7 linked regions of the Sus scrofa genome follow. The protein of the gene in region 7 purifies or fractionates together with the protein of the main gene of each other region. This does not show direct contact. Links are inferred from orthologs where the notes say so. Each region holds a gene or a part of one and is shown on either strand. Other genes may lie near its edges.

Region 1 (3,258 bases), on a different chromosome or scaffold from region 7:
TAGAGCTTGAGCAGCTAGAAGAATGAAGCTGCCATTAACTGTTACAGGAACAGGTCTGGAGAAAGGGAGTAGGTGAGAAGTTTAGGGCTCAAGTTGGAACATGTTAGGATTGCCTATTAAAAAACCAACTAACATACTACAGTTTGGCAGTTTATTTTTTTCCCACCTAACAACATATGTAGGGTCTCTCTATATTCATTCAACAAATATAATTCACTTTATGCCTATATACCATAGTTGAATAAACCTTCAGGATGGTTCTAATGTTTCAGTGAACAAGTCTGTACTGAGGACAAATACTGAATAAATTAATAGAAATTTGAGTAGAAAATAGGTGAAAAGTTGAGCATTTTTTAAGAAGTATTGATAAAGTGACCTCCACCTAACAGTGTTTAATGATTACTTCTTTCCTAACAGCCTTTTGAAAAATGTTCTTTTGTGTGTGTGCATCTGTGTGTCTTTCCTAGGGCCGCTCCTGTGGCATATGGAGGTTCCCAGGCTAGGGGTCCAATCGGAGCTATAGCTGCCAGCCTACGCCAGAGTCACAGCAACGCCAGATCCGAGCCGCATCTGCGACCTACACCACAGCTCACGGCAATGCTGGATCCTTAACCCACTGAGCAAGGCCAGGGATTGAACCCGCAACTCATGGTTCCTAGTCAGATTCGTTAACCACTGAGCCATAACAGGAACTCCTGAAAAATGTTTTTTAATCTGGTAACTTTTTCATCTATCTCCCTTACAAATTCTACTGTTAAACTGTGTAGCTGGTTTGTTCTGAACAGGCTGTTTAAAGCTGTTAATTTTCCCTCACAGCAGTTGATAAGGTAGTGTAAAAGAAGGAATATTTAAGCCAAGGATGCAGTCAATGCAAATGAATGTGGACTGAGTAGAGAAGAAACCACAAACTGCCTTACCCGCTCTGACAAACACCCAAATAAATGTGCCTACCTCATTCCAAGCCATTGGCTCTGTTCTGAAAAGAGAACTGGTCAGCTCAACCGAAAGCCGTTTCTTATAATCCTGGGGCTTGTCCTCAGACATTCGGAACAAAACAGCAGCTGCGTATGTTGCTGGGAGAGGATGGGAAAAAAGGTCTTTGAGGAAAAGCTGAGGCTTCACCATACACACCAGCCAAAGGCTTTGGTTCCTTTCCTACTTACCCACACCTTCATTCCTAGAGTGGAGTAATTCTGTCAGAGGTGCTGTGGCTCCCTCAGCTTCAATAGCTTCTGCAGCCTCCTTGTCCTGAGCAAGTTCACAGAGGACCCCTGCAGCTACTCTTTGGATATTTTCGATGGGAGAATAAAGCAGCTAAGGAGAAAACACACACACACACACAAACCCCTAATTAAATATAAAGTTGAACAAGATTCTACTGTATAGCACAGAGAACTATATTCAGTGGTCTATGATAAACCATAATTGAAAAGAATATAAGAGAAAAAAGACTACCAAAAGTAGAAACCTAAAGTAGAAACAAGGCAGGCACCCCACTGTGGTGCAAACATTCCCAATTCAGACTGCAGGCAGTATTTGTACTACTTACATTAAATCATATACTCTAAATATATGTTCTTGAATGTTTGATGCTCTGGAGGACTGGTTTTCTGGAGTGTTTTTAGCAGCAAACCTTTTCTTAAGAGACAATTTTATTTAAGCTACGATTTGGAAACTCCAGAGGTGGTTGGAGGCCTGTGCTCTAGCAGCCAGATCAGCTTTCACTCCTTCAAAACTGAGCACCTCTCAAAGCAGAGAGTTATCTCCTCCCTCTTCTTGACATTCAGTGATTCTCCTTCTACTGCCCAAGACGAATAAAGGGAATTTTTGTAAAATTAAATATATTCAACTAAAAAGACATTATACATTGAGATTCATGGACAGTATTGCCATTTTAGTAAATGAAAAATTAAATGCTGGTGCCCCTATTTTGGTCCCTAATTTCATGAAATTTTGTTTATCTTTAAAATCCTGAAATTTGATTGACATATAAAACCTAGAATGTCTCACTTAAAACCAACATACCTGCACAAACAATGGAATGGTATTTAGTCCTCTGATAACAATTCGGTTGTGAACATCCCGAGCTAGGATATGAAGGGCTCCAGTACAACCTTCAACTATTTCTTCCATGCGGACCCCCTCCTATCAGAAGAAACAGAATTAATAAATAGGGTATTCTCCTCTCTAAAGTTTATATACTTAAAAGGCTTTCTGTTTTAAGTAGTAATGACTAGACTAGTTATTCACATTATAAACCCAAAGTTCCCCAGAATTTACAATAGGTTCAGGAATGAAAGAGGACTCCATTAAATTGAATGTCACTTTCTGAACGGGGGCCTCTTGACAGCACCTCTCCCTGATACAAAGTACCGTGTACAATGAAGCACAACTTAAATACACATCTGCATCCCAAAGATAACTTCTTTACAGTCACGGCCCCCATAACTCTGGGTAAGAGGGATATATAAAGAAAAGGTAATCTAGGAATTATCATACTAACTGAAATAAAAGTATCATATGAGATCACTAATATGTGGAATCTAATAAACATGATATAAAAGAGTTTACAAAACAGACATAAAGATTTCAAAAACAAATTTATGGGAGTTCCCAGTGTGGTGTAGCAGAAACGAATCCAACTAGTATCCGTGAGGCTGCGGGTTTGATCCCTGGCCTCGCTAAGTGGGTTGGGGAACCATCGCTACCATGAGCTGTGGTGTAGGCTGCAGACATGGCTCGGATCCTAGGTGGCTGTGGCAGTGGCTGTAGCTGTGGTGTAGGCTGGCAGCTGTACCTCTGATTCATCCCCTAGCCTGAGAACTTACATGCCACAGGTGCCGCCCTAAAAAGCAAAAAAAAAAAAAACAAACCAAAAACAAACTTATAGTTGCCATAGGGGAAACGCTGGGGGGGAGGGATAAAAAGGGAGGTTGGGATTGACATATACACATTACTCCATATAAAATCGGTAACAAGGACCAATTCTATAGCACAGGCTAATCTACTCAATATTTTGTAATAACCTATAAGGCAAAAGAATCAGAAAAGGAATGGATATGTATACACATAACTGATTTACTTTTCTGTACACCTAAAGCTAACACAACTTTGTAAGCCAACTACACTCCAATAAAATTTTTAAAAAGATACACAAAGATGGTAAAGAAATGTGCTGTATCAGTGTTTTCTTTCAGATACTCCCTCTATCTTTGTACATCTAAAAGTTTTATTACCAACTGCTAAAATTCTGTTGAG
Region 2 (3,500 bases), on a different chromosome or scaffold from region 7:
GCCCCTACCGCTGGGCCCAGCTGTCAGGAGGGCACTCACCGATGAGGTCAGGGATGGTGGGCAGCTCCCCGAGGTCCTCCAGGAGCTCGTGCAGGGGGTCACGGTGATCGGGGGCGATCCAGTCCTGGTGTTCCAGCAACAGCTACAGGATGAGGGGAGAAAAAGAGATGCAGAGTCAGAGCCAGGCCTTCCTTCCAGGGCCGGGCCCCCCACCCTCTCGTGGACTTCCAAAGCCCCGCCCACTTACACAGCACCCCCAGCTTGCGGCGCCTCACCCTGTGTGTGTTGACCAGCTCCCCCACGGTGATGTACACCACGGGTTTGGCCACGGCTACCATGTCCGAGTACTCATCCATCGCAAAGCGCTCTTCTGGCTCTGGCACCTGGCAGGCTCGGCAGATGAACCTCCTGTCTCCAGAGGAAGAGCATGTGAGAGAGGGGGGCGGGCCAGCACCCCCCACGCATACAGCAGCCCTTCCTCCGGCCCTGTCCACTGATGCTCAAGCCACCTGACTCTCCAGTCTGGGCTCCGGCCCCTCTGTCCAGCCCTTCCTTCTCTCCCAGTGTCCCCTTCAAGCAGCCTTCCTTCAATAGTCCTCTTTTTTCTCCACTGGGGAGTTTTTCCAACCAGCTGTCCTCCAGCTCACTAACTATACCCTTCACCTCTATGCCTCTCTTCCTTGTGGATGTAAGCCAAAGTGGTACATGAAAGAAGATGGGAGAAGGAGAAAAGACGGACAGGGAGGGATAGGATGCCAGGACCCAAGACCTGAACTTGAGGTGCGTCTCCTCCAGATAGTCATTCAAGACCCGCAGGTGCTGGCTCTCCCCGGAGAAGGCCTTGCCCGCCGCAGCATGCTGCAGGAGTTGAGCCACAGCCCCCAGGGCGTGGCGCTGCGGGGTGGCCAGGGCGCCACCTGCTGCCATGGCCACAATGTCGAAGGCATCAGGGGCCACTACAGCCGGGTTCAGGAAGCGGTAGTACAGGAGGTTCCCTACCACCTGAGGGCAGAGGAGATCCTAGAAGTGCCTGGGTTCTGCCTCCACGGCCCCAGCCCCACTCTTCCAGCTCACTTGGCTGGAAGGACTGCCTAGGTCAACCCCATCATTGTATAGAAGAGAAAACAAAGCCAGAGTAGGCCAGCAACTTGCTCAAGGTCACACCCTGAACTTGAGCCACAGCTGGGAGTAGAACCCAGATCTGCCAAGTGCAGGTTGGTCTACTGTTAACTCACACCCCGGATGCCTTTCCAGCTGCCATCTGAACCCGGCTGGTGAGCCAGGCTTAAATGACAGGATGGAGAATTTTCCTTCTTGGATTTTTACAGCATGGGGTTTTCTTTCTCTCTCTCTCTTTTCTTTTTTTGTCTTTTTGTCTTTTCTGGGGCCACACTGGCGGCATATGGAGGTTCCCAGGCTAGGGGTCTACTCGGAGCTGCAGCTGCCGGCCTACACCACAGCCACAGCAATGCCAGATCCAAGTCGAGTCTGTGATCTACACCACAGCTCACGGCAATGCCGGATCCTTAACCCATTAAGCACGGCCAGGGATTGAACCTGCAACCTCATGGTTCCTAGTTGGATTTGTTAGCCACTGAGCCACAGCGAGAACTCCAGCATGGGGTATTCTATCCTTTGGTCTCAGAATGCGGGTTCACCGGCACCATCAGGGCAAAGGTGAGCTTGAGAGGTGGGGGATGGAAGACAACACTTGCCTTATAGACCTCACTCTCTGTGGCGTCAGGGAACTTCTCTGCCAGAGTTGTCTTCAGGACCTTGGCCACATAGCGCATCCCATACCTGGGGGCAAAGCGGTAGGAGCACCGTGGCCCTGCCCATCCACACCTGAGGGCCTGCTTCTTCTCTGGGCTGAGCAGCACCAGAGCTGAACTCAAGCACCTCCCCCCCCCCCAATATCCACAGCCTGCTCCTTGCTGCCTTCCTCCAAACACCTCTGGGCCTTGTCTCTCGCTCTTGCCCTTATGTCAATACCTAGGAACAGGGCCCTGTTACCCATTAAACTCTCACTCGGCCTCCAACCTGGCCTGGGAGCCTCTTCTTTGGCCCCCTTTAGTCTCCCCTGGGGAACACCCCAGATCCTAATATCCATCCCATCCTTTCCCACAGAAGGCAGCACCTTTAGCCCGCACCTTAGGTGTCTGATACCCACAGCCAGAACCCCATCCCAGGACAGTCTGGGAGGCCCTGAGGTGGCCAATCTTGTCTGTTTTCACAGAGCATCTGTGAGAGGCCTGGTCTGGGCTAGAGGCAGGGGCCGAGGACAGTAACAAACTGGAGTAGAGGCATCTAGTCCTGACTCTATCACTAATCAGAGATGTCAGCTTAGGCTATTTCGTTCCCGTTATAAGTTTGTTTTCTGGTCCAGAAAAATGGGAATGTTCATTCCTGCCCTATCTCATGAGATTTTTATGAAGATCAAGTGAAATTACTGTCTGTGAAAGTAATGGCACAGTGCTAGTCAAACATGCTAGACTGTATTATTATTCCTATTATGAATGGGCCACCTATTTTTTTTTTTTTTTTTTTTTTTGTCTTTTTGCCTTTTCTAGGGCTGCACCTGCGGCATATGGAGGATCCCAGGTTAGGGGTCTAATCGGAGCTGTAGCCACCGGCCTGCACCACAGCCACAGCAATGTGGGATCCGAGCCTCGTCTGCAACCTATACCACAGCTCACAGCAATGCCGGATCCTTAACCCACTGAGCAAGGCCAGGGATCGAACCCAAAACCTCATGGTTCCTAGTCGGATTCGTTAACCACTGAGCCACGATGGGAACTCCCTTTTTTGTCTTTTTTAAGGGCTACAACATGGCATATGGAGGTTCTCAGGCTAAGGGTCCCATCGGAGCTGTAGCCATCAGCCTACGCCACAGCCACAGCAACGCGGGATCTGAGCCACATCTGTGACCGACACTACAGCTCATGGCAACGCTGGATCCTTAACCCACTGAGTGAGGCCAGAGATTGGACCCACGTCCTCATGGATACCAGTCAGGTTCTTTAACCACTAAGCCACGATAGGAACTCCTGCCACTTACAAATTTAATTAAATACATGTAAAGGCTCTTTCCATTTCCTAGGGTACCAGGACAGAAGTTTACAGTTCACTGTGCACTTCCCTTTATTAGTCCTAGGACAATCTTTTCTGAATCCTAATTGTAAATCCTTGATCTAGTTCTCCAGGTCTAGGGAGCTGGGCTGTGAGCTTTGTGGGTTCCCCTCCAGCACCCTCACCTTGCCCTGAGCACCAGAAAGGAGGGCTGGCTGAATGATGATCTAGATGAGGCCAACCTTGTCAATGTTTTCAATAGTCTGCTTTTCCAAAAATAATTAGTAACTAAATTTTATGAAAGGAGAAGACAAGAAAGTGCTTTACTGGTTTGAAGTTTTCTTATTTTTGACTTTATGGACTGAAGAGTTTTATAGTTTCCACCATTTACACTCAATAATATAGCCTCATGATCACTTGGGGTTCCCTTC
Region 3 (2,973 bases), on a different chromosome or scaffold from region 7:
TGGGGGCGGGGGCGTTGGAATGCGAAGGAGCCTTTTCAGTCTCCGTTGTGAAAACTCTGTTTTCCTTATTAAATTATTTTAATAGAGCCTGGCGTTGAGCTTGTGCATCTGCCACGCAGACTCGCTCCCATCCAGGACACTCCTAGGCCATTTAGGTCGTGTTTGAGGTAGAGGTTTTATGATACCAAAGTGGGCACCTGCCGGCCTGCCTCCTCTTGCCAACCTGGCCTCAGACCTGGACACTTGCTAGAACCCCTCCCACCACCACGGGTGAGCAGGTGGCGGGGAGTCGGTGGTGGTAGTTACTGAAACATTGTTATTTCCAGGATGACTCTAAGAGACAGCAAACTCTGGGGCTTCCCTCCTCTCAAGCGCAGGGCCTGGAGCAGTGCTGGTCTTCAGTGGCTTCATACTGTTGCCAGGTTGGTCTTTCTCCATTTCAGGTCTGCCCCCTCCCCTCCCCTTCCCCTCCCACCATTCCCTAAGCATCAGAAACAGCACATGGTCACTTATTTATTTTTGATACAAATGTACATGACACACATCTTGACAGTCAGCCCACCCACCACCACACAGGTAGAGCCTGGCCCCTGGCACAGAGGTGGGATGGGGAGAGGAGCTGGTGGGCACTGCCATCTGCCTCTCAGCCTTCCCAGGCTGCAGGGACCCACACACTGCAGGTGCTGGCCTCTCAGAGGTTACAGGGAGGGGGCTCTCAGCTGAGTCGGGGACCCCGGGGAGCCAGCCCCAGGCTCAGGTGCTCAGTTCTCTGCCCCAGCCAGCACATTCCCCCTCCACAAGGGGAGGGGAAGAGAGATGGAGAGAAGTGGTTTTCATTTTAAGTTCATAGAGAAAGGGTATGAGTGGGGGAGCAAGGAGGAGAGGCAGAGGGCAACACCCCAGCTGGTTACCCCGGCAGTCCCTGGCCCCAGGGTGGGGGCGGGGGGCAACCCCCAACACCGGTCCTTCCTTCTGCTCTGGGCCCCTCACCCCTCACACAACTCCAGACGAGCCAGGCCTCCGGAACGGCACTGCCGCCCCGCACACTCACACACAGGCACGCAGGGACACTCAGTTACCACGACGTTAAAATTAAGGGGTGGAAGAGAGGAAAGAAAAAAAAAAAAAAGATTTTTCCAGTGTTTTGCTGCTGGGGACCCCGGGATCACAGGTTTGGGGCCTGTGCCCTAGGCTGGGGCCGTTTGGCATTAGAGGAGAGCAGCAGGGGGCTGGTGGCTACAGGATGGGGACATCCACAGGTATTATGTACAAGGGGGATGCCCCCACTCAGCCCCCAATAGGGCTGGACTGGCTCATGGGGGTGGGGTGCATGTAGGGGAACCGCCCCACTTGGAGTGTCCCCACCCAACCCTTTGCTGAGGGTGCCCCAGGGGGCAAGGGGCTGGGAGTGACGCCTTGTAGACCCCTGCACACTAGAGGGGAGGGGATGCTATGTACAGGGAGAGGTGCATGGAATGTGGGGGACAGAAGCTTCTGCCACCTCACCCCCCCATTCTTGGGGGCTCGAGGGGGATGGGCACCAGGGCACCTGGCTGCCAGGGGAGAGTGGCAGCACTAAGGGCACTTGTGCCAGCGGCTCTGTTAGGGTGGGGATTAGTGTCTGGAGTGGCCCAGCTCCCATGGCCAGTGAGGTCCCGGGGTGCGGGTGAGGGTGCAGGGAGAGTGGTCACTGCTTCTTCTCTCGGGTGGTGATGGTGACCAGCTGCTTGGCAGCCTTGGCGATGTCATAGGCGCACTGGATCACCTGCTGAGTCAGCAGCTGGAAGTCCACAGGGGCGCCAGGCTCCGGGGGCACAGTCTTCCGGCACTCGCTCTGCAGCCGGTAGGCGCTGGCGTTGAGCAGCCGCAGCGAGCTGCGCACTGGCTCCAGGGCTGGCCTCTGGAGGGAGGGCAGAGGGAGCGAGGCCTCGGACTCCCACCCACAAGCCAGCGCTACTGGCAGTGTGGCCACGTCTCCACCCAGGTAGCAGTCAGCTTCTCCACCCCCGCCCCACCCAGAGGTGCCCCCCAGTCCTGCTCCCCTCTGGCCCCTGTACCTTTGGGAAGAGAGAAGCCATCTCCGTCACAGCCAGATGGATCTTTTCTGAGCAGGGCACAAAGCTGTGGGGGGCAGACGGTAAATCAGGGAGGCGGGCTCTCGAGAAGGGGTCCAGGGAGAGCGGAGCTCTGGTCCCTCTCAGGCCCTCGGCAACACCCCAGAAGCCCGCACGAGCCTCCGCCCACCTCCGTACCTGTCGTGCTTGAATTCCTGGGCAGCCCGCAGTAACTCCTGAATGTTCTTGGTAACCTGCTCCGTCTTCAGGATGACGTCCTCTGTGCTGGGAAGGCCAGGGTCCAGGTCTCCATCCAGGCTTTCCAGCTCGGGGTGGAAGTCCTCCTCCTTGCCCAGCTCTAGAAACCTCTTCCCTTCCAGGCTGGGGTGAGACAGGCAGCCCGGCCGTGAGGTCGCTTGCCTTCGCCCTCGCAGACACCGGGGGGCCACTCAACCCCCGCCCCCGGGTGCCTCACCCCAGCAGCGGGTCCCCACTCTGTGTGTTCTCATAGTCACTGTCGGCGCCGCTGCCATGGCGAGAAAGCTTGCTCTGGAGGGGACAGGGAAGGGGCGGCAGGTGGGGTGCATGTTCGCAGGTCCCCACAGGCTGCCCGTTGCCTCCCCAGCACACCTCTCAGCCAGCCCAGCCCTCGGGCCCTGGGGATGAGCGTTACCGTGTGGCGGCTTCCTTCCTGGGAGCATGACAGCAGTGGGGAGGAGGGAGTGAAGGGCACAGCTGAGGCCGACACCCCCTTCCGGATCTGAAACCCAGGTAGGGCTGGAGTCAGTCTCCTCCCACCACCCACCTTCCCTGCAGTGAGGCTGGGACCACGTGTGTCTAGTCAGCCCTGTGCCCGGCATCCAGTGCAGAGCCTGGCACCTGCTGGGGCTCAAGACCTGTTTGTGGGAACCGAGCCACC
Region 4 (3,193 bases), on a different chromosome or scaffold from region 7:
AAACTTTAATTTTTTAAATCTGTATTGATTCTTACTCAAGTTTTATTTTCTCTTCAATATTAAAATAACTATTTTTTCCTGTCAATATTTTATAATTTCCAAGAGGTTTTTATGGATCTCAAAGAACATTTATTTCAGAGGTATCTATTACTATTACTAGACAAGAAATAAAAAAAAATTTAGGTAAAGACTTGACATTTTTTCCTATATACATCTTAATCATCCTAATGGTAAAAACTCACATAAAACTTTAAGATACAAGATGATATGAGAATCTCAACATGGAAAGCTGTCACTATAACTACAAGCAGTGTACAAACATGCTTCTATTTTTACCTACATAAGCTGACAGATGTTTAAAATACTGGGTTAACAAAGATCTTTTAGTAAAGTGACTTAGGCAGGCTTAAACTAGCAAGGATTAAGGATGAATCCTTACTAATTAATTGGAAGATCTGAGACATATTTTATATTTCATTTTACAAAATCAGGAATATTTATTTTGAAACAAGAGAAGACATGGTCTACCTGTCAGAAAACTACCACTCAGAAATATTTTTCATCCACAAAGCAGGAAAAACATATAAACACTTAAATTTCACATTGGCACCAAAAAGGTTAACTGCCCTGCCTTCTTGGATTAAAAAAACTAAAGCTGAGCAGTAAGTAGTTTTGCAGGCGTTTGAACATGCCTAAGCCTTTAAATCAGTAAAATACTTTCTAAAAATTCTGATTACAAAAGTAATACATACTTATACAAAATTCAAACAGAACAAAATGAAAAGAGTAGAAAGTGAAAGGCCCCTGTACAGCCCCTCTGGGACCCATGCCCACACCCCCCTCAAAAGAAACCACATTTGGTGCCTATCTTTCCAAATCTTTTCTCTATGTATACAAAACACACATACCTTCATTTGGCTCATTCTATACATAGTGTTTTGCCACTTGGATTTTACACTTAATACACCTTTGATATCTTTCCATGTCAGTACATGTAGGCTAAATGGTATTCTATCATTAAATACCCTTTTAACAATGGCAAAATTATTTTTTAAAATCATTCACCCAAGTACATGACTATAATTTTAAAACAAAATGGACAGACTACTAAAACAGAAACATCTAAAAATAATCTCTATCTTTCTACCAGTGTGGAACAGTTCATTCCTTTTTCACACAAAACAAATTATGTGATTGGGGATATTAATCTCCATGTTTTCACAGAATGCTCCATTTGTTAAGCCTATCTGAAAAGAATGAAAAATTCAGTTGATTAATTCACTAACATTTAGAAAACTAAGTCAGTGTACCACAGATACACACTGCAGTCAGTTTTAATATGATGCTTCTCAGTCTAGGGTTTCAATTAAATAACAGTGAAAAAATAGGACAATAATATAGCTAAAATCCTGAAAAATCCAGAAATTCAAATTTTATACTGCCAACTGTAAACACTGCAGTTTATGTTTTTTCCTACTTGGTAGCAAATGCTAATGAAATTCAATGCTGATTTCTGAAAGTTGGTTCACATCATACATTCAATCAGGGTAATAAGAACATAACACACCTACTGTAGTTAGACTAAGACATAAAAATTTTTTGCTTGAAAGTAATGACTGTGTTGCACATCGGACATTTGTCAATTGCTTCAGCACACTGTTTACAAGTGACCAGATGTCCACAAGGAATAAAAACCACAGCAATATTTCTATCCATACAGATTTTGCAAAGCTTCTCCTCTTGCAGGAGCCTCAGCTGTTCTTCAGCACTAATTTCTGTACAAAGAGAAAAAAAAGTGCTAAATTTTAGGCTTAGTTGTTTAAATTCATTGAAACAATATGAACCCCTACTATGTGTGAGGCACTAATCAAGTGTTGAGAGATAGGATGACTCACATATGGCATCTGCTCTTTATTAGCTTGCATGCTAATGGGAGAGAAGGACATGAGCTAAGGCTATGGAGGTAAGCATAAAAGTGATAAGTGCCATAATAAAGTTACATACAAAGTGCTCTGGGACAAGATGAGAGAATAAGTTCTTCTGTCCAGACTAGGTGGGGAAGGCTTCACAGGTTGGTGGCGATTGGGTGGGGGTGGGGGGGAAAGAAGAGTGGCATTTAAAAATGGGCAGCATGAATTCCTGCTGCAGCATCTCTGCAGAGCCAGGACGCAGGTGCAATCCCCAGCCTGGCACAGGGGGTTAAAGGATCCAGCAATGCTGCAGCTGTGGCATAGGTCACAGCTGTGGCTTGGATCTGATCCCTGGGCTCAGGAACTCCTTATGTGTAGACTTTAGGGCCACTTCTGAAATGGGATAAGCAGGATTTGGTGGCTGACTGGATGTGAGGGATGAGGAAGAAAGAGGAAATAAAGTTGATTACAGGTGGCACCAAAGTATTTGCTTAATTCAGCCTTTCTCAAACTAAGTTTTGTAAAATGTTAACAAATATGCCATAAAAATGTGTTTCACAGCCATACATAACTATAATTACAACATCAACAACAGCAGCAGTTAATATGTACTAGGAACTATTCCCAATGTATTACATATTTTAACAATCTTTGTAATCATTGCATACCAGTGGTTTCCAAATTAAGCCTCAAATGAGAATCACTTGGGGCATTTTTTTAGAACAATAGATTCCTGGGCCCCATTCACAGAATCTAAAATTTCTGGGGTTGAGCACACTGGTATTTGGGCACCACGGCTATCAAGTTCAGGGCAGTGTAATAAAATGTACATCCCCTCTTAGAAATTCATAACGCATTTCCTTATTTAACTACAAAGCTCATTTTTCATGGCATCTCTTCTAACATCCTGGGGGAAATTATTCTGAAAACAAGTTTGGAAAACAGTGGTCTAACTTTATTCAACAAGTACTTACTAGGCATTAGAGATAGAACAATTAACAAATATATAGACCCTTAGGCTCCCAATCATTCATAGCCAAGTAAGGAACACATGTAGATAGGAAATTATAATACAGTGTGATGAGAAAGGTAATTATACAATGTGTTATGAAGAACACAGTAAGGGAGTGTGTGCACACACACATAAAGGGAAGGCTTCCCAGAAAAAAATTATACCTAAACTGGGTCCTAAAGGATGCACAGGAGTAAACTAGGAGAGGGAGAAGGCCCTGGCAGACAGAAGCAGTGGGACAAGAGGGTTCTGGGTAGAGGAAATGTCAAAA
Region 5 (4,017 bases), on a different chromosome or scaffold from region 7:
AATAGAAAGAGGATCTGACCAGGGGCTTGGGATGGACAGTGGGCTCAGGGGACCAGCTTCTCCTCACCCTCCAGCTGGTCCTTGTTAAACTCGATCTGTGGAAGAAAAGAGCAGGTGAGGAGGGATGACAGGGCTTATTCAATCTCTCTCCAGCACTCCTCCCGACCAACTGGCAACCACTTCTGGGGAGGGGCCCAAAGGGACCAGGCTGGGAGCCCAGCCACCTCAGTCCCATTCCCAGCTCCAGACCTTGGGAGAATCCCAAGAGGAGGAATTATTGGGGGGAGGGTTTCCTGGGAACAGGGTTAATCCCATGCCACCTGTTCCCCTCCCTCTACTGCCCTGAGCCCTGCATCCCTCACATAACTGGGGGCTGAACAAAGGCTAAATTTACCCCTGGCCCCCAGCTGTGATTGTCTAACAAGTCTGTCCTCTTCAGCCTTCCTTCCTGGGGTTCAGAGCTGTGGCCTTTCGTGTTGAACAGTCAGCCAGGGGCCGGCAGCAGCTCCCTCCCTTCACCTTGAAACTGTCCTCAGAACCCAGATGTTCCCCATCTCACAGTCCCTGCCTCCAGCAGGAGGGTCAGTGAGAATGTGTGTGTATATACGTACACAGAACGTGTTATAGATTAGAGGAAGAGCTCAACAAAGACAATAGCAGAGTCATGACCCTGAATCCTTCCAAATAGGGGACGAAGGGAAACCCCCGCTATCATCCAGTGCTTACTGATTCCCTACCTTCTAGATACCCCCTAGTCCTCTAGGCTGAATCCCACCCTTTACCACTCCCTCCAAATTCTTTTCTCACTTTCCAGGGACTCACCACCACTTTGGAGAGATCGACGGGGGGCTCCTGGATCTTCGCAGAGGCTGAAGGGACAGCTGGTGCTGGTGCTGGTGCTGGTGCTGGCGCTGACGCTGACGCTGGTGGTGGCTTGGCTGGAGGGGCCCCTGCTGCTGGCTTGGCAGCAGGCGCAGCAGGCTTGGGGTTAGGGGGCCCCACTGGTTTCTTCACGGGAACGGGAACATCCTTCTTGGGAGGCATGATGTCCGGTGGCCAAAGGACAGTGTGCCGATGGGGGCACCCATCTCTGTTTAAATAGCCAGGGAGTCTGGGATGTCAAGGGGCGGGGGCAGGGGCAGGGAGCCAGTTGGCGATGGGGAGGGTGAGATAGAGGAGAGATATGCTGGCCTGCCCTCACTCCCCTGGCCTCCTATGGTTCAGGACTCCTGCCCCAAGGTCTTCTCCCTTCTGTCCACCTGGCCCCAAATGCTGACCAGAACAATGGCCCCTTTGGGGGCAGGGGGAGGAAGCCAGAGACTGCCCAGAATGGGGGAGTTAACCTCCGGGGTGAGGATAGGATGCTTGCCAGTGACAAACAGTAAAATAGGGGTGAGGCAAAGAAGGAGATCCAGGCATTCAATGCCCTCAACCCTCTGACTCAGAAGAGCCCTTTTTCCTAGCAGCTTTAGACTCTTGAAGGCTGAAGCAGGGATGGGGGCCTTGTGAACTGTGATTGTTAAAGTGGGGTCTGGGAGTAGTGAAAGGTGAAAAAAACAAGCAGACTCTCTGCTCCTCTCTGACCATGGATGAGAAGCAGGGATAGTGGATCCCACAGCTTCATAATCCTGAATACTGTAATTCTCTAACCCTCTTCCTGCCAGCCCAGAACTGGAACTGTGTACAAAATAGAGACAGAATAGTAAGAGAAGAGTGTGACCTCCCCCTCCGATTGTTCCTGTACCCAGTGTTAAACGTTTAAGGAGCGGGGATGCGGGCAAGGACAGTTTAACACCCACCATCCATACTCCCAAGGAAGGAACACTTGTCCACAAACCTATGGTCATTCAGGTCAGACACAAGTAGGGTGTCTGAACCTGCAGGGGCTCCTTGCACCTGGGGGGAAGGGCAGGCTCTGAGAGGCAAAGGGCTTAATTTCTAAAATCTCTAATCCAAAAGGACGTGGGAGGCCCTTTGGCCTCCATGAGTACTCATTCCCAACCAGAGGGATAATAAAACCTCCAGACTAGGTTGCCAGATTACAAACCTTGCTGGGAGCGCTGGGGTAGAGTCGAAGTCCGGGCATATGGGGTGGGGGGGGGGGCGTCACTGGCTAGTTTTGTTCTGGGGTTAAAGAAAGAGACGATTTAAACAGCATTCCGAGGAAGATAAGAGTGATCCCACTTAGGTCCTGGGGTTCAGAGAGTTGATGCTGGGTCTCCCACTCCAAAAAAGTCTCTGAATCTCATTACTGCCAATTGCCTCATTTTAGGAAAATAAGCACATCACTCTCTCTCTCTCTCTCTCTCTCTCTCACACACACACACCACACACACACACACTCACATACACACACCCTAAATATTAAATAAAGGAAAGAGTCCCTCCCCAAAGCCCCAAAAACTCACCCTGAGGGGTCCAGGTAAGAGGAGGAGGCGGGGCGAAGGGCAGCCGCAGTCCCTGAAGGGTTAATTTCGCCAGCCACCGAGCATGCCGGGAATCGTAGTCCTCGCGCGCGCCCGGAGGCTCACGGGAAACTCCGCTTAACTACGTAAGGGGGGCGGTGTTAGTGCGGTGGCTTCCGGCCCGAAGCGGCGGTTGGTGACTCAGTATGTTTGGGGCGCGTTTCTTATCCCGGAAAAAGTACTTTTCACTGACTCTCAAAACGTGCGCGGCCCTTCAGAATATCTCCCTTGTTTGGCCCTGAGTTCACTGTTTAGTGTGGGCGGAGCTGTTTTCCTGAGTTCGCTGTGAGAACGCGGAAGCAGCGGAAGGGTTGTAGCTGCCCCAGGCTCAGATAGAAGGTCAGGTAGCTCAGGAAGCACTTAACGGCCCCGGGCCGAGTGGTTAGGTCAGTTTAGCTTCCTGTTGCAGTTCGGTAGAAAATAGAGGCCATTGAGTGGCTGTATGACTTGGAACAGTAAAGTTGTTTGTTTGAAGTGAACTGGTAGTTGAAGTAAACGTTAAAATTTGGAATTAAGCCGGCTAACCTGCCGCAGTCCGAGTTGAAGTTTCTCCATTCTGCGGCCGCGTATGCATCAGGCACCCTTTCTGTTCTTCACAGGTCTCTTTGGAGTGGAGGCCTGCGTTCTCCAGCTCTTGACTCTGAGACATCTCTGCCCAGCATTGGACATCTCTTTCCCGTGGATGGCTGGTTGTTTTTTAGATTTTTTTTTTTTTTAATGGTCGCACCTGTGGCACATTGAAGTTCCCAGGCGAGGGGGGGGGGTCCAATTGGACCTACAGCTGAGGCCTGTTCCACAGCCAGGGCAACAGGGATCCGAGCTGCATCTGCTACCTACATCACCTGTGGCAAAACTGGATCCTTAACTCACTGAGTGAGCCCAGAGATTGAACCTGCCTCCTCACAGAGGTAGCGTCGTGTCCTTAACCTGCTGAGCCACAGAGGGAACTCCTTGTTTGTGTTTAATTGAGGTATGGTTGGTACAGAATATTCTGTTTCAGGTAGGTTGTATGTACTCCATTAATAGTTATAAATATTGGTTATATTCTCTGTGTTGTACATCCCCCAAGATGCTTTTGAAAGGTCTCCTTTGGGCTGGTAAGGAACCAGCCCAGCCCCACTGATCTACTACTAGATGGAAGAGTAAATGCCCTGAAGGTGCATACCATGCTGGAGATTGGGGCTTGCACGGGCTTGCTTGCAGGCAGTGGGTGGGAGTAGAAAGCCCACAAGAGGTCAGAAGAGTGAGGCATAAATGAACTTAATGGGCAGTGCAGAATTGATGTTGGCTGGTTGGGGAAGGCTTTTTGGAAGAGTAGAAATGGATTGTATAATAAAAACAATAACCGATGAGGAGGTGGAGGGTGTTAGCAACCATTTCTGAAGGTCTCCACAGAGCAGGTACTGCATGAACCATAGAGGGTGCTAAAGAGTGTGGATTCAGACTAGCCTGCTTAAATGTGATGTTTTATTTGCTATTGTTTTGAGTTCTTTTTCAGGCTACTTAATTTTTGTTTGTTTGTTTGTTTTGTTTTTTTTCTAGGCCACATCTG
Region 6 (3,500 bases), on a different chromosome or scaffold from region 7:
GGCATTATTTTGTTCTTTCGTATGGCTGGGTAGTATTCCATTGTGTATATATTCCACATAATCCATTCATCTGTCAGTGGACATTTAGGTTGTTTCCATGTCTTGGCTATTGTGAATAGTGCTGCAGTGAACATGCGGGTGCATGTGTCTTTTTCAAGGAAAGTTTTGTCTGGATATATACCCAAGAGTGGGAATGCTGGGTCATATAGTAGTTCTACATTTAGTTTTCTGAGGCACTTCCATACTGTTTTCCATAGTGGTTGTACCAATTTACATTCCCACCAACAGTGTGGGAGGATACCCTTTTCTCCACACCCTCTCCAGCATTTGTTATTTGTTGCCTTGTTAATGATGGCCATTCTGATAGGTGTAAGGTGGTACCTCATAGTAGTTTTGTTTTGCATTTTTCTAATAATTTGTGATATCAAGCATTTTTTCATGTGCCTCTTGGCCATCTGTATATTTCCTTTGAAGAAATGTGTATTCTGGTCTTTTGCCCATTTTTCAATTGGGTTGTTGGGGTTTTTTTTGCTGTGCAGTTGTATAAGTTGTTTGTATATTTTAGAGATTAAGACCTTGTCAGTTGCATCATTGAAACTATTTTCTCCCATTCCATAGGTTGTCCTTTTTTTTTTTTGGTTTCCTTTGCTGTGCAAAAGCTTGTCAGTCTGATTAGATCCCATTGGTTTATTTTTGCTTTTATTTCTGTTGCCTTGGGAGACTGACCTAAGAAAACGTTTGTACTGTTGATGTCAGAGAATGTTTTGCCTATTTATTCTATATTTCTTGTAACAAAATTGTAATAGATTCTATAAAGGCTCTGTAAACTATATAGAAATTAAATTTGCTTTTTCTGATTTAGATAATCAACTGTAACCAATCTTGAAAGAAATACTTTTAATTTTTCTCCCTTAGAAAACATAAGTCCAGAAGAAGAATATAAAATTGCCTGCCTCCTCATGGTCTTTGTGGCAGTTTCTTTGCCAACACTGGCCAGTAATGTGATGTCTCAGTATAGCCCTGCTATAGAAGGTAATAGTGGTTTAAAATTGTATTGGCACTGGAAAAGTTCAAGTTTTGATATAGTAGCTACTTTTCAATTAATTGATTTTTTTATGTAATAAAATGTGGGTTAAAGTTCTGCCACTTACTAACTGTATAACCTTGAATAGTCGAATTTTCTTTTTCTAAGCCCCAGTTCCATAATCACATACGAAATGTGTATGTGAACCTGTGGGTGCCTGTGTGTGGCAGTGAATGGTGAGGGAGTTTCTAACCCAGGATTGTGTTAAGGATTGATTGAGGAAATGCTCATAAAGCAGCCAAGCATTTATTTTTTAAATTTCTAAAACAATGTAAAATTTAGAAATGATTTCTTTTAGGGGTCTTTGAAAATGTGCCTCTTCAATACAAATAAAAAAATTTCTTGCTCTTTTGCTACACTATTTTTCAAAGCAGTAATTCTTTGAAAAATGAAAGAAAAGCAAGGCAGGTTATGCCAACTCTGTATTTAATCATGCCACTATTCATATAGATTACGGAGTCATTAAAGATTACTTTTTGTGTTTTTGATATTTTGGAGTCACACAGAAACCAAAACCCTATTTGCACTTTCTCAGGGCACTGCAACAACATACATTGCTTGGCCAAAGCCATCAACCAGATTGCCGCAGCTTTGTTTACAATTCACAAAGGAAGCATTGAAGATCGGCTTAAAGAATTTCTGGCGGTATGTATAATCAAGTAGCAAAACTAATGATGCTTTTTAAAGAAAATTAAAAATCGTAACTATGAGATTATAACAAAGTAAATTTTATTTATTTACTTATTCATTTTTGAAAAAGGAGCAGATGAAGGCAGGGCATAAAATCAAGGAGCAGTTAATTTAGTATTTTTTCCTTTTGACTTAGAAGTTTCTCATTTCTAGAGCTCTGCAGTATGACCTTTTTTCCTAAACTGGTGTTTGGACTATCCTAGAATTTTGCCTAGGATTTGAAAGAGAAAAAAACAAAACGAAGGAAAATTGAGGCAAAGGGTGAATGTTCCCACTAACAGGATATATTTTACTAATTTCCATTTATGTGGAGAAAGACTGTTAATGGTCCCAAACTCAAAAGGAAGACTACTACTCACTATCCAGAGAGGGTAGTAGTGCCAACTGTTGCCTCATGAATATGGCTCTTAGTTTCTGTGGAAGGGTAGCTCTTTCCTTTATCACTGTACTTTTTCTATGTATTACTTAAGAGAAAGTTGCACTGTGATATAAAGCACACTATAATATTTGCTTCTTTTCAAGTTATAAATGCTGTTAGCTTTTTAAATTTTTAAAATTTTGAAAGCAAATGTAGTACTCACTTAGGACAAAATAACATCTATTTCAAAGGGAACAGTATTAAGAGTTAAATTTTTTCTTTTCATTTTTTTTCTTTTATTCAAAATTTAGTGTCCTAATCTCCCTATGGTCCCATTAACTCACACTCAATTTGAAAATTTCTTATTTGAGAATTAAGAAATATAGTTCATACAGATATTGGGAAGAGAAAAATCAATTTAAAATCATTTTTTTAAAAAAAGGTTTGTTCTAAAAAAATGAATTTTAGAGACCAATAAGAATATTGAATTACATTTATTATCTTGTGTCTGTTTATACCGTAATAGCTCTTAAATTTTGCTTGAATGTGAAGAACCTAAGCTCACCTTGTTATTTAATTGCTCATTATCTTAAATGTAGCCACTGAATGGTTAAAATGTCTTACAAGCACAGTGAAAATAGACAAGTAACTTTTGAACATTTTACTTTATTTTAAAAACTTATTTATTTAAAATGTATGTATACTTTTAAGCTTGCGTCCTCCAGTCTACTGAAAATTGGCCAGGAGACAGATAAAACAACAACAAGAAATAGAGAATCTGTTTATTTACTGCTAGATATGGTAAGTCTTATTTTAATTTTTGTTAACAACAACGAAGTTCCAGTCATTCCTGATAATCTTTTCTTGGTATTTTAGTTATTAAATAACATTAAGAGCTTTTATGTGTGTCCATTGCCCTAAGGTGAGTCTCTTGTATACAGCAGATTATAGGCTCTTGCTTTTTTATCCAGTCTGCCACTCTGTGTCTTTTAATTGGAGCATTCAGTCCATTGACATTTAAGGTAATTATTGATAAATATGTATTTATTGGCATTTGAAACCTTGTTTTCCACTTGATTCTGTGTTTCTCCTTTGTTCCTTCCTTTCTTTGGTTGGATGATTTCCTTGTATTTTATGCTTGTGTCCTTTTCTTTTTAGTTTTTGTGAATGTAACGTTTGAAATTGATCTGTGGTTGCCCTGTTTTTCAAGTATGTTAACCCCTTCCTTTATCTGCTTGCTTTAGCCTGGTAGTCATATAGGCTCAAACACGTTTTAAAAAAAAAGTTAGATTTTCTTACTGTCCTTCCCTACATTCTGTGATTTTAAAGTCCTTTTATAAGATCTCCATATTTGTCCTTTTGCTGTTC
Region 7 (3,958 bases):
TAAATTAACCTCCGTATCTTGTCAAAATACTGTCTTCATCCTTCGATCACAGGCGCTCCCCACGCTCCACCCCGCGCACCCACGGCCAGAACACCTCGCCGGAGGGAACACGTGAGCAGGAGTTCAGTTCAAGGCTCACGAAAGCTAGTACACTCATCGCTTAAAGAAACCCTCACTACGCAATCAGAGCTTGATGCAGAGAGCTGCGCTGTCACCTCCTCGCCAGGACGCACAGTACAACGTCAGGTCATGGGCACGGGCGGATAGACGAGGGTGCGCTCCGTGGCGACGTTTCGCGAAGGAGGCGCTACGCCCGCCCTTCACGGTGGAAAGCCGCCGGCCTCGGAAGGGACGGTCTCGCAGGGAGAGAGGTCTCTGTCAACAGCTTAGTGCTTAGTGTTCTCAGCCCAACAACGCAACTTGGCTCACAAGGGATTTTGGCAACTCTTCATCTGAGCAAGAACAGGGGCTTCTGAAAAATAAGGCTTTAGGAAAGCTTGTCATTTTAGGGCTAAACTTTAATAGAATGTGAAAGTTTAAACTCTTACACTTTAAACAGAGAAAAACCTAGAAATTACTGATTGGTTCAAAACGGTTTTATGGAAAAACTAATCTGTAACAAAAACTTGGCATTGAGTGCGAAGGCTCCACATTTGAGCAAAGCAGACAAAGGTTCGGGGCGGGACGGGCCCCCGCCCCGGGCCCCAGGCGTTTACAACAGCAGGCACTTCCTCTTCCTCTTCTTGACGGGGGGCGGGCAGAGAACCGCTCGGATGGCTTCGTCGAACACTGTCTTGAGGCCCCGCTGCGTGAGCGCCGAGCACTCCAGGTATTTCACAGCACCTGCCGGACGGAACACGGCCTCTCAGCCTCGGCCTCGCCCCCCCATCCCACCCCCCGGCTCAGCCGGGTCTCTGCAGGGGCGGCCAGACCCGGGTCCACCTCCCCGGGCGGGACTCCGGCCTCTGGCGGGCCAAGCAGACCTGGCGCCGCGGGGTTTCCTACCGATCTCCTTCGCCATGGCCAAGCCCTGCGGGTAGGTGATGGGAGTCAGCTTCTTCTCCTTCAGTTTCTCGATCGTGTCTTTATCATCCCTGAGATCAAGCTTCGTCCCCACCAGGATGATGGGCGTGTTGGGACAATGGTGTCGCACTTCTGGGTACCACTAGGCGCGGGGACAGGAGCAAAGTCACGACTCTGGTGGGAGCCGCCCTCCCGCCGATTACGGCCACACCGGTGCCAAGCTGTGTCAATCCCGAGTCCCTGCGTCGCCACGGAGCCTTCCTGCAGGGGACAGCACGCTGCCCTCGGCCAGGCTCCCCTCCAGAACCACCAACCACTGCACCGTGGGACCGGCGAGGCAGCCCCCCGCCCGCCACTCTGTTTTTGGTTTCTGGTCAAGTTCTTAGGTCATTTCAAAACCCCTCACACATTCGAGGATGAGAACCAAACTAGCAGGACTCAGGACTCAGCTCTACCGTCTCCTCCCCGCCAGACGCATCCCTGACCCACCGCCGTCATCTCCACCAAGCCCACCGGTGCCGCCAGTCCGTCATTTTTATTCACCTGGCTCCCAACTGCCTCGTTATTTTAACAAGGAACCCAGCACTTCTGCATCGGCCCTGAAACTTGAGAACTCTGCATACTAAAGTCACCTTGCTGGAGTTCCCGTCGTGGCGCAGTGGAAACGAATCCGACTAGGAACCATGAGGTTGCGGGTTCCATCCTGGCCTTGCTCAGCGGGTTAATGATACGGCGTTACCGTGAGCTGTGGTGGAGGCTGCAGATGCGGCTCGGTTCCCGCATTGCTGTGGCTGTGGTGTAGGCCAGAGGCTACAGCTCCAATTGGACCCCTAGCCTGGGAACCCTCCATATGCCAAGGGTGCAGCCTTAGAAAAAACAAAAAGACGAAAAAATAAAAAATAAAAATAAAATATCCCACTTACCTTTGCGCGAACATTTTCAAAAGATGCAGGGCTCACAAGAGAAAAGCAAATTAAGAATACGTCCTGTAAAAAGAAACACAGGGAGGCGTTTAGAGAATGGTCTTGGCGTGGCGAAGTCACTTTGCTTCCTAAATGCTGCGGGGAAAGCGCCAGAAGCCCCGGCTCGTCCTGCGCACCAGCAGCTGAGGCGCGAGCCGGCTCCCTGCACCCTCTCTGGTCGAGACGCTCCCAGACCAGAACCAGCACGTGAAGCACAAGTTACTGGTGAGACTGGGAGTGGAGCACAAGACACGCTCTGTTACTGGAGGCCACAGACAGACAGGCCTCTTTCCATCACTCCAGCTCTGCCTGGGAGCTTAATGCTGTTCCTGCCTGGGGACAAAATCCTGTGTCAAGGTGCTACGCCTGCATTTCTTTAAAACCTGGTCTCGGTTCCTCAAAAGTAGAATCCATTTCAAAAACATCATCTACAACGCTACGTTTCTCATTACGTCCCCATCAGAACATTAGGTCCAAACACTTCTAGGGGCTCACGCGGCTCCAACTACACTGCTTTTAGGAAGGACCGGCCGTCAGGGCCCTGGGCCCAAGGTGGGTCTCAGGTCCTCGCTCACCCGCTGGCCCTCGGGAGGGAGGACGGCCTCGTGTGAAAGCGGCGTCTCGCCGGCTGTCAGGGCTTCTCAGGCCCAAGCAGGGCCTCTGGAGAACATGCACTTTATTGTGCAAAAGGTGAGATTTAAACGTTTACACATCCTTTTTAAAAAAAAAAAATAAGCCAAAGTTTCTAAAATGCTAGGTTTATGAACTATTTTCCTGGAAAAGGGCAATGACACTCCTTTGTGAAGTGCACACACTTTCAATCCTCAGCTGACACCCTGTACCTGGAAGGGAGCGACCTCCCACACGACAGCGTTTTGTAAATGACATGAAATTTGAGCGCATGCACAAGGTTGCCCAGGAACCACCACGGCCTCTGGCCCTGGGCTGATCACGCCTCCAAGCGGGGCCGGTGAGCTCAGCAGCGCACAGCCCGCCCGCCGGACAGGCCCGCACCCAACACCGAAGCGGGGGAAGGGCCGCCAGGGTGGTTAGTCCCGCTCCCGCCAAGCCCGTGGCCGGGGCGCCAGGGTGAAGCCTCGCGTCTCCCCAGCAGCCTGGAGAGGGCCCCTTCCACCAAAGCCCCCGTGCCCTGAGAGGAGGGGAGAAAGCAGCTTGGGAACGGCTCTGATTCAGGCCAGCAGGTCGACCATGGGCTCCAGTGAAAGCACGTTTCATCGAGCCGACCTCAACCTTGAGTGAATCAGAGGTCAAACACTCAAGGACCGGGAGGCTCGACGGGAAATCCTAGGAAAACTAAGTGAAACGAGAGAACAGATCAAGCTGGAAACTGAAGTCGATTGAAAGTTTTACATACGGCAAGCGCTTGTCTTTGCCCCTGGAGGGTCTATCCTTACCATACGTTTCTCCAACCTAGTAATGCACGAGAACTTGGTTTGAGGTTAGTAAAAACTGAGAACAGTCAACATAACCCGTTACTCATTCTTCATCTGGGCGGTGTCTCAACCCTCCCAGGGAGCAAGCGGATGACGATCCAGCAGGTCTACGCCACCCAGGGTCACTGAATCCCTCCGTCACCCTGGCCACGGGGCACGAGGGGCCCTGTGAAGGTCACTGGTGGTGGGGGCACCGGTCGGGCAAGTCCTGGGGAGCAGACGGAGCTCCTTCCTCCCTCAGCCGCCGCAGACGGCTCCTCTCCCGGCAGAATGACAAGGTGCCCTCGAAGGCGGCGGAGGACATGGGAGAGGCAGCCGGCACGGAGCCAAGCTCTCCCGCTAAGCTCGCGGACACGAGGCCCGGAGGCCAAGAGCAAAGGGGCCCATCCACACAGCGGGGCCTGTGGGACGGGGCTGCCCAGGAAGGCGGCCAGGCCAGAGCTGTGACCGTGAGCCTCCGGGGCAGCAAGGCCGGGGCCTGGCCTGAATGTGCCACCGCACCAAGACCCGCAGCACCCC

What was found.
Region 1: the proteins of RAC1 (region 7) and CTNNB1 purify together in Homo sapiens (affinity purification with western blotting; 4 studies listed by BioGRID, with this or other methods). This does not show direct contact. The link is inferred for Sus scrofa from reciprocal best matches to the Homo sapiens genes RAC1 and CTNNB1.
Region 2: the proteins of RAC1 (region 7) and IQGAP3 purify together in Homo sapiens (affinity purification with mass spectrometry; 3 studies listed by BioGRID and IntAct, with this or other methods). This does not show direct contact. The link is inferred for Sus scrofa from reciprocal best matches to the Homo sapiens genes RAC1 and IQGAP3.
Region 3: the proteins of RAC1 (region 7) and GIT1 purify together in Homo sapiens (affinity purification with mass spectrometry; 3 studies listed by BioGRID). This does not show direct contact. The link is inferred for Sus scrofa from reciprocal best matches to the Homo sapiens genes RAC1 and GIT1.
Region 4: the proteins of RAC1 (region 7) and XIAP purify together in Homo sapiens (affinity purification with western blotting; 3 studies listed by BioGRID and IntAct, with this or other methods). This does not show direct contact. The link is inferred for Sus scrofa from reciprocal best matches to the Homo sapiens genes RAC1 and XIAP.
Region 5: the proteins of RAC1 (region 7) and MYL6B purify together in Homo sapiens (affinity purification with mass spectrometry; 3 studies listed by BioGRID and IntAct, with this or other methods). This does not show direct contact. The link is inferred for Sus scrofa from reciprocal best matches to the Homo sapiens genes RAC1 and MYL6B.
Region 6: the proteins of RAC1 (region 7) and NCKAP1 purify together in Homo sapiens (pull-down; 4 studies listed by BioGRID and IntAct, with this or other methods). This does not show direct contact. The link is inferred for Sus scrofa from reciprocal best matches to the Homo sapiens genes RAC1 and NCKAP1.

What each region holds. Positions count from the first base shown.
Region 1 is NC_010455.5:25,202,295-25,205,552, reverse strand, and holds part of CTNNB1 (catenin beta-1), read right to left. Parts: intron 2,146-3,258; coding exon 2,026-2,145; intron 1,315-2,025; coding exon 1,164-1,314; intron 1,074-1,163; coding exon 952-1,073; intron 1-951. UniProt on the Homo sapiens protein: Key downstream component of the canonical Wnt signaling pathway.
Region 2 is NC_010446.5:93,546,733-93,550,232, reverse strand, and holds part of IQGAP3 (ras GTPase-activating-like protein IQGAP3), read right to left. Parts: intron 1,801-3,500; coding exon 1,716-1,800; intron 1,003-1,715; coding exon 770-1,002; intron 409-769; coding exon 276-408; intron 143-275; coding exon 40-142; intron 1-39.
Region 3 is NC_010454.4:45,767,672-45,770,644, forward strand, and holds the end of GIT1 (ARF GTPase-activating protein GIT1), read right to left. Parts: intron 2,815-2,973; coding exon 2,728-2,814; intron 2,604-2,727; coding exon 2,530-2,603; intron 2,436-2,529; coding exon 2,253-2,435; intron 2,122-2,252; coding exon 2,058-2,121; intron 1,901-2,057; coding exon 1,688-1,900; 3' UTR 501-1,687; downstream 1-500. UniProt on the Homo sapiens protein: GTPase-activating protein for ADP ribosylation factor family members, including ARF1.
Region 4 is NC_010461.5:101,434,369-101,437,561, reverse strand, and holds the end of XIAP (E3 ubiquitin-protein ligase XIAP), read right to left. Parts: intron 1,776-3,193; coding exon 1,582-1,775; 3' UTR 501-1,581; downstream 1-500.
Region 5 is NC_010447.5:21,553,134-21,557,150, reverse strand, and holds the start of MYL6B (myosin light chain 6B), read right to left. Parts: upstream 2,801-4,017; 5' UTR 2,409-2,800; intron 2,075-2,408; exon of another isoform or gene 2,048-2,074; intron 1,091-2,047; 5' UTR 1,045-1,090; coding exon 823-1,044; intron 96-822; coding exon 68-95; intron 1-67. UniProt on the Homo sapiens protein: Regulatory light chain of myosin. Does not bind calcium.
Region 6 is NC_010457.5:88,430,750-88,434,249, reverse strand, and holds part of NCKAP1 (nck-associated protein 1), read left to right. Parts: intron 1-915; coding exon 916-1,032; intron 1,033-1,619; coding exon 1,620-1,729; intron 1,730-2,843; coding exon 2,844-2,933; intron 2,934-3,500. UniProt on the Homo sapiens protein: Part of the WAVE complex that regulates lamellipodia formation. The WAVE complex regulates actin filament reorganization via its interaction with the Arp2/3 complex. Actin remodeling activity is regulated by RAC1.
Region 7 is NC_010445.4:4,782,553-4,786,510, forward strand, and holds the end of RAC1 (ras-related C3 botulinum toxin substrate 3), read right to left. Parts: intron 3,417-3,958; coding exon of another isoform or gene 3,357-3,416; intron 2,010-3,356; coding exon 1,947-2,009; intron 1,166-1,946; coding exon 1,006-1,165; intron 844-1,005; coding exon 713-843; 3' UTR 501-712; downstream 1-500. UniProt on the Homo sapiens protein: Plasma membrane-associated small GTPase which cycles between active GTP-bound and inactive GDP-bound states.